Macaca fascicularis: one gene and its partners. The protein of the gene in region 1 interacts with the protein of each later gene in a pairwise test. Links are inferred from orthologs where the notes say so. Each region holds a gene or a part of one and is shown in the gene's direction. Other genes may lie near its edges. The genes, in order: CASP10, XIAP and RIOK3.

Region 1 (4,472 bases):
AAGAGCTTTCGGATGTTTGCTGCTAGTGTTCACCAGAGTGGTGTTAAGCTAATGTCCAGGTCCCATTTAAGTGTGTGTGTGTGTGTGTGTGTGAGATGTACTAAATATCTAATAAACTTTTAGAAAGTATAATGAATTTCCATCATTGCTTCTGTAATCACATCCTAGCCCTTTATTCCTCCTGGTAGGATGTTGTCAAGATACGAGTTTCTGGCCTGGCAGGTGGCTCATGCCTGTAATCCCAGCACTTTGGGAGGCCAAGGCGAGCAGATCACCTGAGGTCAGCAGTTCAAGACCAGTCTGGCCAACATGTTGAAACCCTGTCTCTGTTAAAAATACAAAAATTAGCCGGTTATGGTGGCATGAGCCTGTAATCCCAGATACTCAGGAGGCTGAGGCAGGAGAATGGTTTGAATGGAGGTGGAGGTTGCAGTGAGCCAAGATTTTACTACTGCACTCTAGCCTGGGAGACAGAGTGAGACTCCGTCTCGGAAAAAAAAAAAAAAAAAAAAAAAAAATACTAGCCAAATTGTGATTTTTTGTTTCAGAAAATTCTTTTTCTTTTAAAATACCAAATATAAAATTCTTTCAAAACATTTTCTCCTCATTTCTTTGGTGTCCCTCTTTTGCTGGTTTCCTAATCAGTATCACTTAAAGCTGTGACTTAGAGTTCAGTGGTTAATAAAATAGACTTTGGCATCAGATTGTACCAGCTCTGCCATTAATTAGCTTTGTGACCTTGGGCAAGTTACTGGAACTTCTTTGTGCTTCAATTATTTCATCTTTAAAATGGGGAATATAATAGTATCTACTCAATCAGTTGTTGTGCTGTTAATATACAGCAAGCACTGTCCCTGTTGCATAGAGTTATATATATTTGGTATCTGGTATTAATATAGATTGTATACAGATTTGCTTGGTAACGCCTCTTCCCCTACACCCCTGAGCAACTTGAGGGCAGATCCTGTTATATCTTATTTATCAGTGCAAAACCTAGTGCCTACTGGCCATGCAGGTAACATCTGAGTGAGTGGATAATCAGTAGGCAAGTAAATGTAACTCTATTGATTCTCTTGTAGACCTCCCTGAGTTTCCTGGCACTTCTAGAGAAACAAGATAAAATAGATGAAGATAATCTGACATGCTTGGAGGACCTCTGCAAAATGGTTGTACCTAAACTTTTGAGAAACATAGAGAAATACAAAAGAGAGAAAGGTAAGTAGCTTGTGCTTGCTAACTTGGACCAGACCATGGAAATTCTTTTTTTTTTTTTTTTTTGAGACGGAGTCTCGCTCTGTCGCCCAGGTTGGAGTGCAGTGGCCGGATCTCAGCTCACTGCAAGCTCCGCCTCCCGGGTTCACGCCATTCTCCTGCTTCAGCCTCCCAAGTAGCTGGGACTACAGGTGCCCGCCACCTCGCCCGGCTAGTTTTTTGTATTTTTTAGTAGAGATGGGGTTTCATCGTGTTAGCCAGCATGGTCTCAATCTCCTGACCTTGTGATCCGCCCATCTCGGCCTCCCAAAGTGCTGGGATTACAGGCTTGAGCCACCGCGCCTGGCCCCATGGAAATTCTTAAAGCAATTGGCCATGCATGATGTTTTGTTTGTTTGTTTGTTTTGTTTTGAGGCAGAGTCTTACTCACTCTGTCTCCCAGGCTGGAGTGCAGTGGTGTGATCTTGGCTCACTGAAACCTCCACCTCCCGGGCTCAAGTGATTCTTCTGCCTCAGCCTTCCGAGTAGCTGGAATTACAGGAGCCTGCCACCATGCCTGGCTAATTTTTGTATTTTTAGTAGAGACAGGGTTTCACCATGTTGGCCAGGCTGGTCTTGAACTCCTGACCTCAAGTGATCCACCCACCTCGGCCTTTCAAAATGCTGGGATTACAGGTGTGAGCCACCGCTCCTCACCCGTGTGTGATATTTACTCATCATTCCGATAATATTCTGCTAGGAAAGCCAGAAATCTCCCCCTTTGTTCTTTCAACACATATTGGTTGAGTTCATATGTTGTACTAGGCACTGCTTTAGAAGTTGGGGGTATAGCAAAGTACAGAACAAAGCTCCTGCCCTCTTGGAACTTATATTTCAGTGCAGGGAAGTAGTTTTAGACAAATGTCTTTTTCTGATTCTAATATGGGAGTGAGAGTATAGGGAATTTTGTTTTAACCCAAATAACATGAAAAAGAAGGCAGGATAGCATGGGGTGAGAGTGGAGTCTATGGAGTCGGATGGCCAGGACTCCGCTGACTAGTGGTGCAGTGGTACTTTTTTGGCTTTTCTATGTCTCACTTTCCCCATCTGTAAAGTGGGCATAATAATAGTACCAACCTCCTAGGTTTTTGTGAGGTTTGAAGGAGATAGTTTCTGTAAAATGCATGTCTGGCGTGGAGTAAGCATTCAATACATGTGGCTACTATGACTCTCTCAGAGAGAAAAGTCAGGAAGACCTCACATTCTCAGAAACTACTATCAAAGAAGAACTTTATTTTCATGTGGGTTTCTTTTTTTTTTCAAGTCTGTCTGATAAAGATAGTTCTGCTGTGATATTTTATACAGGTAGAAGCACAGGGCAGAAGTCAAACCTGGCTGCCTCACCACGTGTCAATACGCTAAATATCTGTGTTTTTCTGAGTCAATTTCTCCACTGTTAAACAAGAGCTATACATAAAAACGCATGAGTATATTCATGAAACTTTTATGCCACACCCTTAATTTAGTTCAGTGAGTGACTCTAGTGTGCAGATTTCTTTGGTTGAAAATGAAACTAGCTAAGAGGAAACGTCTCTCTAAGAATTTGGTTAACACAGAATGAGTTGAGGAGCAAAATATACTGTTGTCAAATTGATAAAATCTCAAGCAATAAAATGATGAATAAATGCATAATTTAAGTTATGAAGAATAAAAACAGTTCTTTCTATCATCAAATTATCAAATGAGAAAGCAGAAGGTTGATATGGAAAGAACATTTCAAATCCTCACATGAGCTCTGAGTTTTTTTCTAAACACATTGTCATTTTTCTGTAATGTCATATCCCATATGAAGTAAACAAAGGGCAAGTGGTCATATTATTTTGGATACTTAAATTCTAAAGAAGACACACTAGCTTCTATGTAGTTGATTACATTTGCCTCAGTGAGTCTTGAAGACTGAAATTTGTTGTTTTATTTTTATTTTTTGAGACGGAGTCTCGCTCTGTCACCCAGTCTGGAGTGCAGTGGCGTGATCTCAGCTCACTGCAAGCTCCGCCTCCCGGGTTCACACCATTCTCCTGCCTCAGCCTCCTGAGTAGCTGGGACTACAGGCACTCGCCAACACGCCCGGCTAATTTTTGTATTTTTAGTAGAGATGGGGTTTCACCGAGTTAGCGAGGATGGTCTCAATCTCCTGACCTCGCGATCCGCCCACCTCGGCCTCCCAAAGTGCTGGGATTACACGCGTGAGCCACCGTGCCTGGCCTGAGCTTTGTTATTTTTATTTTTATTTGAGATGGAGTCTTGCTCTGTCACCCAGGCTGGAGTACAGTGGCATGATTTTGGCTCACTGAAACCTCCGCCTCCCAAGTTCAAGCGATTTTTCTGCCTCAGCCTCCTGAGTAGCTGGGATTACAGATGCCTGCCACCATGCCCAGCTAATTTTTGTATTTTTAATGGAGACAGGGTTTCACCATGTTGGCCAGGCTGGTCTTGAACTCTTGACCTCAAGTGATCTGTGCTGGAATTATAGGCGTGAGCCACTGAGCCTGGCCCAGGACTGAGCTTTATATCAGCAGAATTCTAATTTTGATTTTTCTTTTCTATAACCTACCTGTGTGTGATCTCTTTTGGGTGTCAATCATTATTGATATTTTAATATTGACTTTCTTTAGTTCTAAGAGTTTGAGCCTAGTTCTGCTGTTAAGATGAAAGTCTAAAGGACTGAAAAGAGTAGGTGTGCAGAGTTTAGACTTTCCTGTAAGTGTGTGTGATCCAAAGTCCAAGCGAGGACACTGGCTTTGTTTAAGGACCACCTGGCTAACTTTCTAAGTTATCTTGAGCCTTGGTGTTTGCTTTGGTATTTTCTTGAGACAGACTCTTACTCTCCCCAGGCTGCGGTGCAGTGGGACGGTCTTAGCTCACTGCAACCTCCCCATCCCAGGTTTAAGCAATTCTTCTCCTGCCTCAGCCTCCCGAGTAGCTGGGATTACAGGCATGCACCACCGCACCCAGTTAATTTTTGTATTTTTAGTAGAGACAAGGTTTCACCATGTTGGCCACGCTGATCTCAAACTACTGACCTCGTGATCTACCTGCCTTGGCCTCCCAAAGTCCTGAGATTACAGGCATGAGCCACCTCGCCCAGCCTAGTATTTTTAATTTATTATTAAAATAAGGTACATAATTATAATAAAATTAAATAAAAATTCAAATAATTAAAGCAACATAGAGTGTAGAAGGTAAAAGTCTTTCTCCTTTTCTTCTTTTTCTATTACTAA
Region 2 (5,146 bases), on another chromosome or scaffold:
AATGGTTAAAATGGTAAATTTTCTTTCTTTCTTTATTTTGAGACGGAGTCTTGCTCTGTCACCCAGGCTGGAGTGCAGTGGCGCTATCTCTCTTCACTGCAAGCTCCGCCTCCCACGTTCACGCCATTTTCCTTCCTTCAGGCTCCCTAGTAGCTGGGACTACAGGCGCCTGCCACCACGCCCAGCTAATTTTCTGTATTTTTAGTAGAGACGGGGTTTCACCATGTTAGCCAGGATGGTCTCCATCTCCTGACCTCGTGATCCGCCCGCCTCGGCCTCCCAAAGTGCTGGGATTACAGGCGTGAGCCACCGTGGCCGTCCTATGTATTTTTTTTTTTTTTTTTTTTTTTTTTTTTTTGAGACGGAGTCTCGCTCTGTAGCCCAGGCTGGAGTGCAGTGGCCGGATCTCAGCTCACTGCAAGCTCCGCCTCCCGGGTTCACGCCATTCTCCGGCCTCAGCCTCCCGAGTAGCTGGGACTACAGGCGCTGCCACCTCGCCCGGCTATTTTTTGTATTTCTTAGTAGAGACGGGGTTTCACCGTGTTATCCAGGATGGTCTCGATCTCCTGACCTCGTGATCCGCCCATCTCGGCCTCCCAAAGTGCTGGGATTACAGGCTTGAGCCACCGCGCCCGGCCGTCCTATGTATTTTTATTTATTTCTTTGTTTTGAGACGGAGTCTGGCTCTGTCACCCAGGCTGGAGTGCAGTGGTGTGCTCTCGGCACTGCAGCCTCCGCCTCCCGGGTTCCAGCGATTCTCCAGCCTCAGCCTACCAAGTAGCTGGGATTACAGGTGCACACCACCACACCCGGCTAATTTTTGTATTTTTAGTAGAGACGGGTTTTCACCATATTGGCCAGGCTGGTCTCGAATTACTGACTTCTGGTGAACCACCCGCCTCGGCCTCCCAAAGTGTTAGGATTACAGGCGTGAGCCACCGCGCCCAGCCAAAACAGTAAATTTTATGTCATGTACATTTTACCACAAGAAAAAAACAGTGCTTAAAAAAAAGCAAAAACAAAAATTAGAGAAGTGCCACTAGAGTTCAGAGCATGAAGGGATTAACTTCAGCTAAGAAAATCAGAGAAGGCTTTGTGTACGAGGATGGGGGGGCAGGCACAACGAGTAGTTCTGATTTGTTAGAAGATAGGGTAGGGTGCCCAAGGGGAGAATAAACATGCAACTAAGAGTTTTAAGAAAAGTCTTTCCTCTCCTCCCTCCCAAGTTCCCTTGTTGTGAAGGGAGGATCATATCTTGCATCACTTGATTTCATTTGAAATGAAATATTCAGAATCCATCATCTCACCACATTACCCTGTAAGATCCCATTTTCCTGAAACAAAAATTCCTATGTTGATCTGACAATCCTACAACGCATTTGAAATAAATCCAGGATTTATTTCAGCATTTTATGTACACAGACTTCCTTTGTTTCCTGTCCATCTGCTTTCTTTTTCCTCTATTAATTTTCCCTTCACCTCCCAATCTTAACCCCCGCCATTCCCCCAGGGTCTCCTTTTCTTGTCATCCCCTTCATCCTTTCCTTCTTGGAAAAAGATCCGATTCTAACCTCAGTTACCTTACTAGCCGCGTGATACTGGGATAGCTATCCCCTCTGGGTCTCAGTTTCCTTTGTAAAATGGGCTTATTAAATCCCCAGAGACAGTGCTTATCTTACAGGGTTGTCAACATTACAACAAAGACCACGTTATATGCCTAACACAGTACCTGATCTATAGTAAGAACTCAACATTTTCGCCCCTTCTCCTCCTCTTTTCCGTCCTTGTGCCTTTCTTCCCCTATTCCTCAACCCCAGGGCCCAACAGGTAAAAACCGTGGGAAAAACCATCCTTGAGGCCAAAAGAAGAAACGCAGGAGCTAGGGGCGGAGAGTACGAGGTGCTCACTGCGCATGTGCGCCCGCTAGGTCAGGTTCTGGGTTCCAGCTGGGAGGGGGGGCGGGGGGGTGGGGTTAGGGGTTGCAAGGGCCTCATTTTTTCTTACTGCCCCCTTCCGGTTCGGGAAGGTGGGGGGACCTTGGCGGTGCCCGGAGCCGGCGTGGCGCTCATCGAGGGACGCCCGGCTCAAGTGGTAAGTTGGAAAATGGCGGAGGGGGGGGAAGAAGGAGGGGCTTTGCAGGGCAGGAGGCTGACCTCCCGGCCGGGGGTGGGAAGGACACAGCCGGGGCCCAGTGGCGCAGCCCGGGCCCGGAGACTGACGGACAGCGCCTGGTGTCTCTTTGAGGCCCTGACGTGGACAAACTTCGGGTTTCACGACTCCGGGTTTCTCCAGCGGATGGGCAGACCGGTGGAGGCGCGTGAGGGAGACGAAGGGACTTCCGTTTCCTTCACCTAGGCTGGGGCCAGGCCGCAGAACGGAGTTGGCATTTCCAGATTGGGGCTCGGGCCGCGCCTCCTCCGGGACCCTCCCCTTGGACCGAGCTGATCGCCGCGGGGCAGTTCGGGCCGGCTGTCCTGGCGCGGTGGGTACAGCTTGTGTAGGCTTTCGCCTCCTCCGCTTTCCCTCCTTACCCTCTTCTCCCTCCCCTCTCTTCTTTTCCCCTCCACTCCCCTCGGGCCGGCGCTGCTGGGGAGGGCGGGAAGGCCGCGCCCGCCTGGCAGAGGTGGCCTGGCCCCGGCTGCTTGCCCGGGTTCCTCGGACTGCCGACGGCAGGCGTGGGTGAGTGGGTGGGTGACTTCAGGCCCGCGGGACTGCCTTCCTAAACCCTGTGACACCTAAGGTAAATTGAGGCAAATAACTTTTTTAAAAAATATGATCAAAGGGATTTCCTCCCCTTGTGATACCTGTGGCTTGTGTGGAGCAGGGTGGAGTGTGTCTGGAGAGGGCATATGAAACAGAAAGAATAAGGGCCAAAGAGCTTCCGGAAGAGGAAATTAGCTGGTAATTCTTTCCAATCTGCTTTCCCAGTCACCTCTCCGGCATGTTCTGTAAAACAAAATGTAATTTGATTTTGTTTCATTATTTTAACTCCATAACACTTAAATTATTTTCTTTTCGGGGAGGGGAGTGTTTATTCTCAAACTAAGCAGTAGCACTCTCCACCTCCGAAAAAGGAAAAACGTCAACCCAAGCTTTGTTAAAAAAAACCCCAACCAATCAGATTTTAATAATCTACTACTTTGCTTTCAAATATAATTATGTCGCTAGTTCTGTCACAACTATACTTTGATAGTTTAATGACTCACAGAAATTTGTAAGACTGGAGGTTTCAGTAGTGTTTCTTTTCCTTTTTTTCCCCATAATATTTATTACAGTCAATGAACAGTGTTACAGACGGCCATCTTAGAATTATAACATTTTAGAGTTGGAAGGGATCTTAGTCAAACCCTGTCCTTTTACAAAACCAGAAACAACGGCTTAGGGAGATTTCATAGCTTGCTTAAGGCTATCCAACTAGTTAAATTAGAACCCATGTTATCTGGCTTCTTGCCCATCACTTTGCACAGTTGCTCCATATCGCCTCCAAGCATGAAAATTAAATGTATTCAATTCAACACACATTTCTGAAGAGTATAATACTTTGTACCAGTGACTGTGGTACCACTTTCTATGTATTTCAATGTATTTAACATGCTTATGGAGTACTTGAGCTTCCCCCCCACCCCCACATTCAAGAAGTGGCAACAGTTTAGATTTATATACACACCTTCACATGTATGTGTGTATACTTGCATTTGCCTAGATAGTTTCTTGAAGGATACACAATAAAAATGTTAACAGTAGTTACTTATGGAGAAGAGAGGTAGAAGACTTTTTACTTTGCACTTCACATGACCTAATGTACGGTTTGAATTTGTTATAAATTTGTATTGATTTCATAATTGAAAAGTTTTAAAGTTCACACCTTCCCACACAAATATATATATCAACATAGGCAAATATATACCAATGGTACATACACATATTTATGCACATATATGTATTTATACATATCAGTGGTTTGTACTGTAAAATCCAGTATGATTCAGGTCAACTCAGCTGACAAAGCAGGCCTCTATTGGATACTCATGTTTCATTTTCTTGTATTGCTCTCTCCTAATGTAAGATAGTAAAAATAATATGTTACTAGTTGTCATATATTTTTAGAAATTGTCCTAAGCTTCTTGATTATCAAATAATGTAGCAAACTTTTAACACATTTAGAATATCAGATTTGGGTACTTGCTTCAGTGGTAGCACATATACTAAAATTGGAACAATTCAAAGAAGATTAGCATGGTGTTTTTTTGTTTGTTTGTTTGTTTTTGAGACGGAGTCTTACTCTGTCATCCAGGCTGGAGTGCAGTGGCACGATCTTGGCTCACTGCAGCCTCCGCCTCCTGGGTTCAAGTGACTCTCCTGCCTCAGGCTTCCGAGCAGCTAGGACTACAGGCACGCGCCACCATGCCCGGCTAATTTTTGTATTTTTAGTAGACACGGAGTTTCTCCATGTTGGCCAGGCTGATCTCGAACTCCTGACCTCAGGCGATGCACCGGCCTCAGCCTCCCAAAGTGCTGGGATTACAGGTGTGAGCTACCTCGCCCGGCCGGTCCCTTTTTTTGTTTGTATGTGTGTTTGTGTGAGACAGAATTTCGCTTTTGTTGTCCAGGCTGGAGTACAATGGCGCCATCTCGGCTAACTGCAACCTCCACCTCCTGGGTTCAAGTGATTCTTCTGCCTCAGCCTCCCAAGTAGCTGGGATTGCAGGTGCCCACCACCACACCCGGCTGATTTGGTCCCGTTTTAAATAAGCAACAACAACAACAAAAATTTGACACCTGACGCTGTGGCTCATGCCTGTAATCCCAGCACTTTGGGAGGCCAAGGCGGGTGGATCACCTGAGGTCAGGAGTTCCAGCCTGGCCAACATGGTGAAACCCCATCTCTACTAAAAGTAAAAAACTAGCCGGGTGTGGTGGTGTGCGTCTATAGTCCCAGCTACACAGGAGGCTGAAGCAGAAGAACTGCTTGAACCCAGGAGGCAGAGGTGGCAGGGAGCCGAGATCGCACCACTGTACTCCAGCCTCAGTGACAAGAGTGCACCTTTGTCTCAAAAAAAAAAAAAAAAAAAAAAAAGAAATTGATACAATGAAAATATCTGCAGCCTGGGCAACATGGCGCAGCCCTCTCTCTAATAAAAATACA
Region 3 (4,095 bases), on another chromosome or scaffold:
TTCAGCTTCCAGCACAATACAGTTGCTCAGTAAGTAAATGATACTGTTGTTTGATGAATGATAAAATTCTCTTTTTCCTGTTTCTGGAATGTTTTTTTTTTTTTTTTTTTTTTTTTTTTGAGACGGAGTCTCGCTCTGTTGCCCAGGCTGGAGTGCAGTGGCGCGATCTCGGCTCACTGCAAGCTCCGCCTCCCGGGTTCCCGCCATTCTCCTGCCTCAGCCTCCTGAGTAGCTGGGACTACAGGCGCCCGCCACCGCGCCCGGCTAATTTTTTGTATTTTTAGTAGAGACGGGGTTTCACTGTGGTCTCGATCTCCTGACCTTGTGATCCGCCTGCCTCGGCCTCCCAAAGTGCTGGGATTACAGGCTTGAGCCACCGCGCCCGGCCTGGAATGTTTTATAGAATACCTTTCAAACATAGATGATTCCAATTGCTAGCTGGATAATGTTAGTAAATATTGACCCTTGTAATCAAGTTAAAAAAAATACATGTATGTATGACTATCTGTGTACACTTGGACACATGCACGCGGGCGCACGCGCACACACACACACACACACACACATAGTAATTTCAACTCAAAGGCAGAATCATTAGGAATAACCTAGTTTTTAAGAGAGTAAAAGTTACTGGCTCAGCCAGGCATGGCGGCTCACTCCTGTTATTCCTGTAATCCCAGCACTTTGGGAGGCCAAGGAGGGAGGATCTCTTGAGCCCAGGAATTTGAGACCAGCCTGAGCAACATAAACTCCATTAAAAAATAAAAAAATTGGCCGGTCACGGTGGCTCACGCCTGTAATCCTAGCACTCTGAGAGGCCAAGGCGGGTGGAACACCTGAGGTCAGGAGTTCAAGACAAGCCTGGACAACATAGTGAAACCCCGTCTTTACTAAAAATACAAAAATTAGCTGGGTGTGGTGGCACATGTGTCCCAGCTACTAGGGAGGCTAAGGCAGGAGAATTGCTTGAACCCAGGAGGCGGAGGTTGCAGTGAGCCGAGATTGCACCATTGCACTCCAGCCTGGGCGACAGAGTGAGACTCCATTTCAAAAAAAGAAAAAAATTACTAGCATAATCTAAAATATGGTTTCTGTGAAAAGTAGGATTCTAACAAATGGATTCAATGTATTATTTTTGTAGATAGAAGCTTTGGAGAAAATGAATGAAGATCACGTTCAGAAGAATGGAAGGAAAGCTGCTTCTTTTTTGAAAGATGATGGAGACCCACCAGTGCTATATTATGAATAGCACTGATACCCACTGCTTCAGTGTTAACACAGCCGTGAGTGTCAGCTGCCAATAGCAAATGAAGTTGTGGGCGACTCGAAATACCAGAACACGGGGAGTGGGCAATGGTGCTTCTCTGCTTCCCCCCTTGTAACCCATGTGCCAGATGTGTGGAATCTTTAGCTCAGCATTGAGAGAATAAAATGTCACTACCTCTCATCTTATGAACAGGATAATATAATTCTTTAACAGCTATAGGTTATCTGGCTGAAGTAGACCTAATTTTACATGACTTGTGGTGTAAAATGTCTTGATGATAATTTTTAAAACTTAGGCAACATTTCCAAATATGGGAGGAAAGGACAGATGTGTTTACAAGGGAGGGTTTCATTACAACGTATTTGCTTTATTCACCTCCCTGTTTTGTGTTGCATCTTTCCTTGAATATCTTACTGGCCCAGAGTTAGCCTTTCTCAATTATGTTTCCAGACTGTGGCCGTGATTCTAAAGGAAAATGTGTGCTCTTTAATGGGTAGAACAAATGGAAATTTGGTTTCAGAATGGCTGACAGAAATAGACATAAGCCATGTAATTTTTGTTGATATATCATGAAAATGAACAGAATTCTTTTTCCATACTTATATCTAAGAAAAGGCATCATAGGTTTCTGAAAGAGATAAATATATAACAGCTTTTTAACTATCCAGTCAACTTTCAGCTTTTCTACATTTAGGTAAAATGGTTAGGATATAACTCATAGTGTGGCTAATCTACATTTATCAATAAAATGTAAATTATCTGAGAGGACAGAATATAAGATTGAACCATGTTTGACATATTTTAATTTAGTTAATGAAGCAAAATTCCGTTTACATTTCACTAAAACTGTGTACTTGATTGATTTTCAGAGAAATATCACAAATTAGAAATATTAAATCAAAGGATGAAAGGTATATATAAAACAATTTGGGGGCCAGGCGTGGTTCAAGCAATTCAAACAGGAAAATCGCTTGAACCTGGGAGGCGGAGATTGCAGTGAGCTGAGATCATGCCACTGCACTCCAGCCTGGGCGACAGAGTGAGACTCTGTCTCCAGGGAAAAAAAAAAACCAAACCCAATTTAGATACCAAATTAATCAACTAATTTGAGCTCTCTGGCCTTACTCTTAGTAGTTTTTAGTACGTGCTGGACACCACTTTGAAAAAGCAATCACTGTGCTAGAAAAGTATATTGGCTTTGTTAGGTTTGAAGTTCATTAACTTCAACGTAATCATTCCTCCTATTACTGAAGTCAGATTGGAACCACTAAAGATCCAAACCTTCTGTCTGGTAATAGAAAGTAAAAATCTAGACATCATTTACATTTGAGAAAGCTGTTTTTAACATTATTTTAAAATGCCAAATATGTTCTTTCTAGAAAAATATTTATTTTTGTTTTTGTTGGATAGCTTTTAATTGCATTTCAGAGAAGTGTGATTTTGGGTAGATGCTAATTACATTTTTGAAAGATTTACTGTTCCAAAATAAAGATTTAGATGACTGGTGATACTGGCTTTACAGAAATTTCAGAGAACTAATTTTTAAAACATTTAAAACTTTTTTTGTTTTGTTTTCTGACATATTCTGACAAAGAGCAGCAAACCACTGCTGTGTGGCATTCTTGGAGTGTGCTGTGAATGTGCTTTTTAAGAAATTAAAAAGAGATCATTTTAAAATTGGTTCTTTGTGTGGTATCTTCCTGTTCCTTATATTAACTTATGTCCTGGTACCAAGTTGCCATTTCTGTATAAAGTTAAGTGATACTGTTTTAAGTAGATTATTCCCCCTCAACCTCTCATTGTTAGATTTCAGTCTCAAATGGCCTACTTCACATTACAAATAGGTTTTCACCCCCACCCCCCTTGTAGATTACAGAGTAGATTTTTTCCCATAGTAGAAAAAGAAAGTGAAAAATACTGGTTTGCTAAGTAAATAAAAAATCAAGCCGGGCGCGGTGGCTCAAGCCTGTAATCCCAGCACTTTGGGAGGCCGAGACGGGCGGATCACGAGGTCAGGAGATCGAGACCATCCTGGCTAACACGGTGAAACCCCATCTCTACTAAAAAATACAAAAAAAAAAAAACTAGCCGGGCAAGGTGGCGGGCGCCTGTAGTCCCGGCTACTCGGGAGGCTGAGGCAGGAGAATGGCGGGAACCCGGGAGGCGGAGCTTGCAGTGAGCTGAGATCTGGCCACAGCACTCCAGCCTGGGTGACAGAGCGAGACTCCGTCTCAAAAAAAAAAAAAAAAAAAAAAAAAAATCAAATACAGGCTGGGCGTGGTGGCTCACACCTGTAATCCCAATACTTTGGGATGCTGAGGCAGGATGATCACTTGAACCTAGGAGTTTGAGATCTGCCTGAGCAGCAGAGCAGACCTCATCTCTACAGAACATTAGGTGGGTGGCACGCATCTCTGGTCCCAGCTACTGGGGAAGCTGAGGCAGGAGGATTCTTTGAGCTCAGGAGATCCAGCCTGCAGTGAGCTATGATCACACGACTACACTCCAGCCTGGGTGACAGATAAAGACTTGGTCTCAAAATAAATAAATTAATAAAATGAAAATATATAAAATACGGAAATAGGGATATTTTATCTCACATTAAGTTATCAAAATAAGGATGACTAGTTAACTTTTATTTCAATATGATAATTACCAATTTCCTTTTCATAAAAATTAGTTTTTCTTGCTTACAAAAGTAAGTCATTTATTTGAATGTAAATATTGTAGGAATTTAGAAATGTTCAAGTGAAAGTCCCTCGGCCAGGTGCAGTGGCTCAGGCCTGTAATCCCAGCACTTTGGGAGGCTGAGGTGGGCAGCTCACCTG

Evidence for each region.
Region 2: the proteins of CASP10 (region 1) and XIAP interact in binary tests that used the Homo sapiens proteins (3 or more experiments, as listed by UniProt). The two-hybrid records come from large-scale screens. The link is inferred for Macaca fascicularis from reciprocal best matches to the Homo sapiens genes CASP10 and XIAP.
Region 3: the proteins of CASP10 (region 1) and RIOK3 interact in binary tests that used the Homo sapiens proteins (3 or more experiments, as listed by UniProt). The link is inferred for Macaca fascicularis from reciprocal best matches to the Homo sapiens genes CASP10 and RIOK3.

Annotation. Positions count from the first base shown.
Region 1 is NC_088386.1:96,960,558-96,965,029, forward strand, and holds part of CASP10 (caspase-10), read left to right. Parts: intron 1-1,079; coding exon 1,080-1,215; intron 1,216-4,472. UniProt on the Homo sapiens protein: Involved in the activation cascade of caspases responsible for apoptosis execution. Recruited to both Fas- and TNFR-1 receptors in a FADD dependent manner. May participate in the granzyme B apoptotic pathways.
Region 2 is NC_088395.1:130,086,967-130,092,112, forward strand, and holds the start of XIAP (E3 ubiquitin-protein ligase XIAP), read left to right. Parts: upstream 1-2,020; 5' UTR 2,021-2,091; exon of another isoform or gene 2,092-2,355; 5' UTR 2,356-2,482; exon of another isoform or gene 2,483-2,740; intron 2,741-5,146.
Region 3 is NC_088392.1:66,274,946-66,279,040, reverse strand, and holds the end of RIOK3 (serine/threonine-protein kinase RIO3), read left to right. Parts: intron 1-1,141; coding exon 1,142-1,249; 3' UTR 1,250-2,944; downstream 2,945-4,095.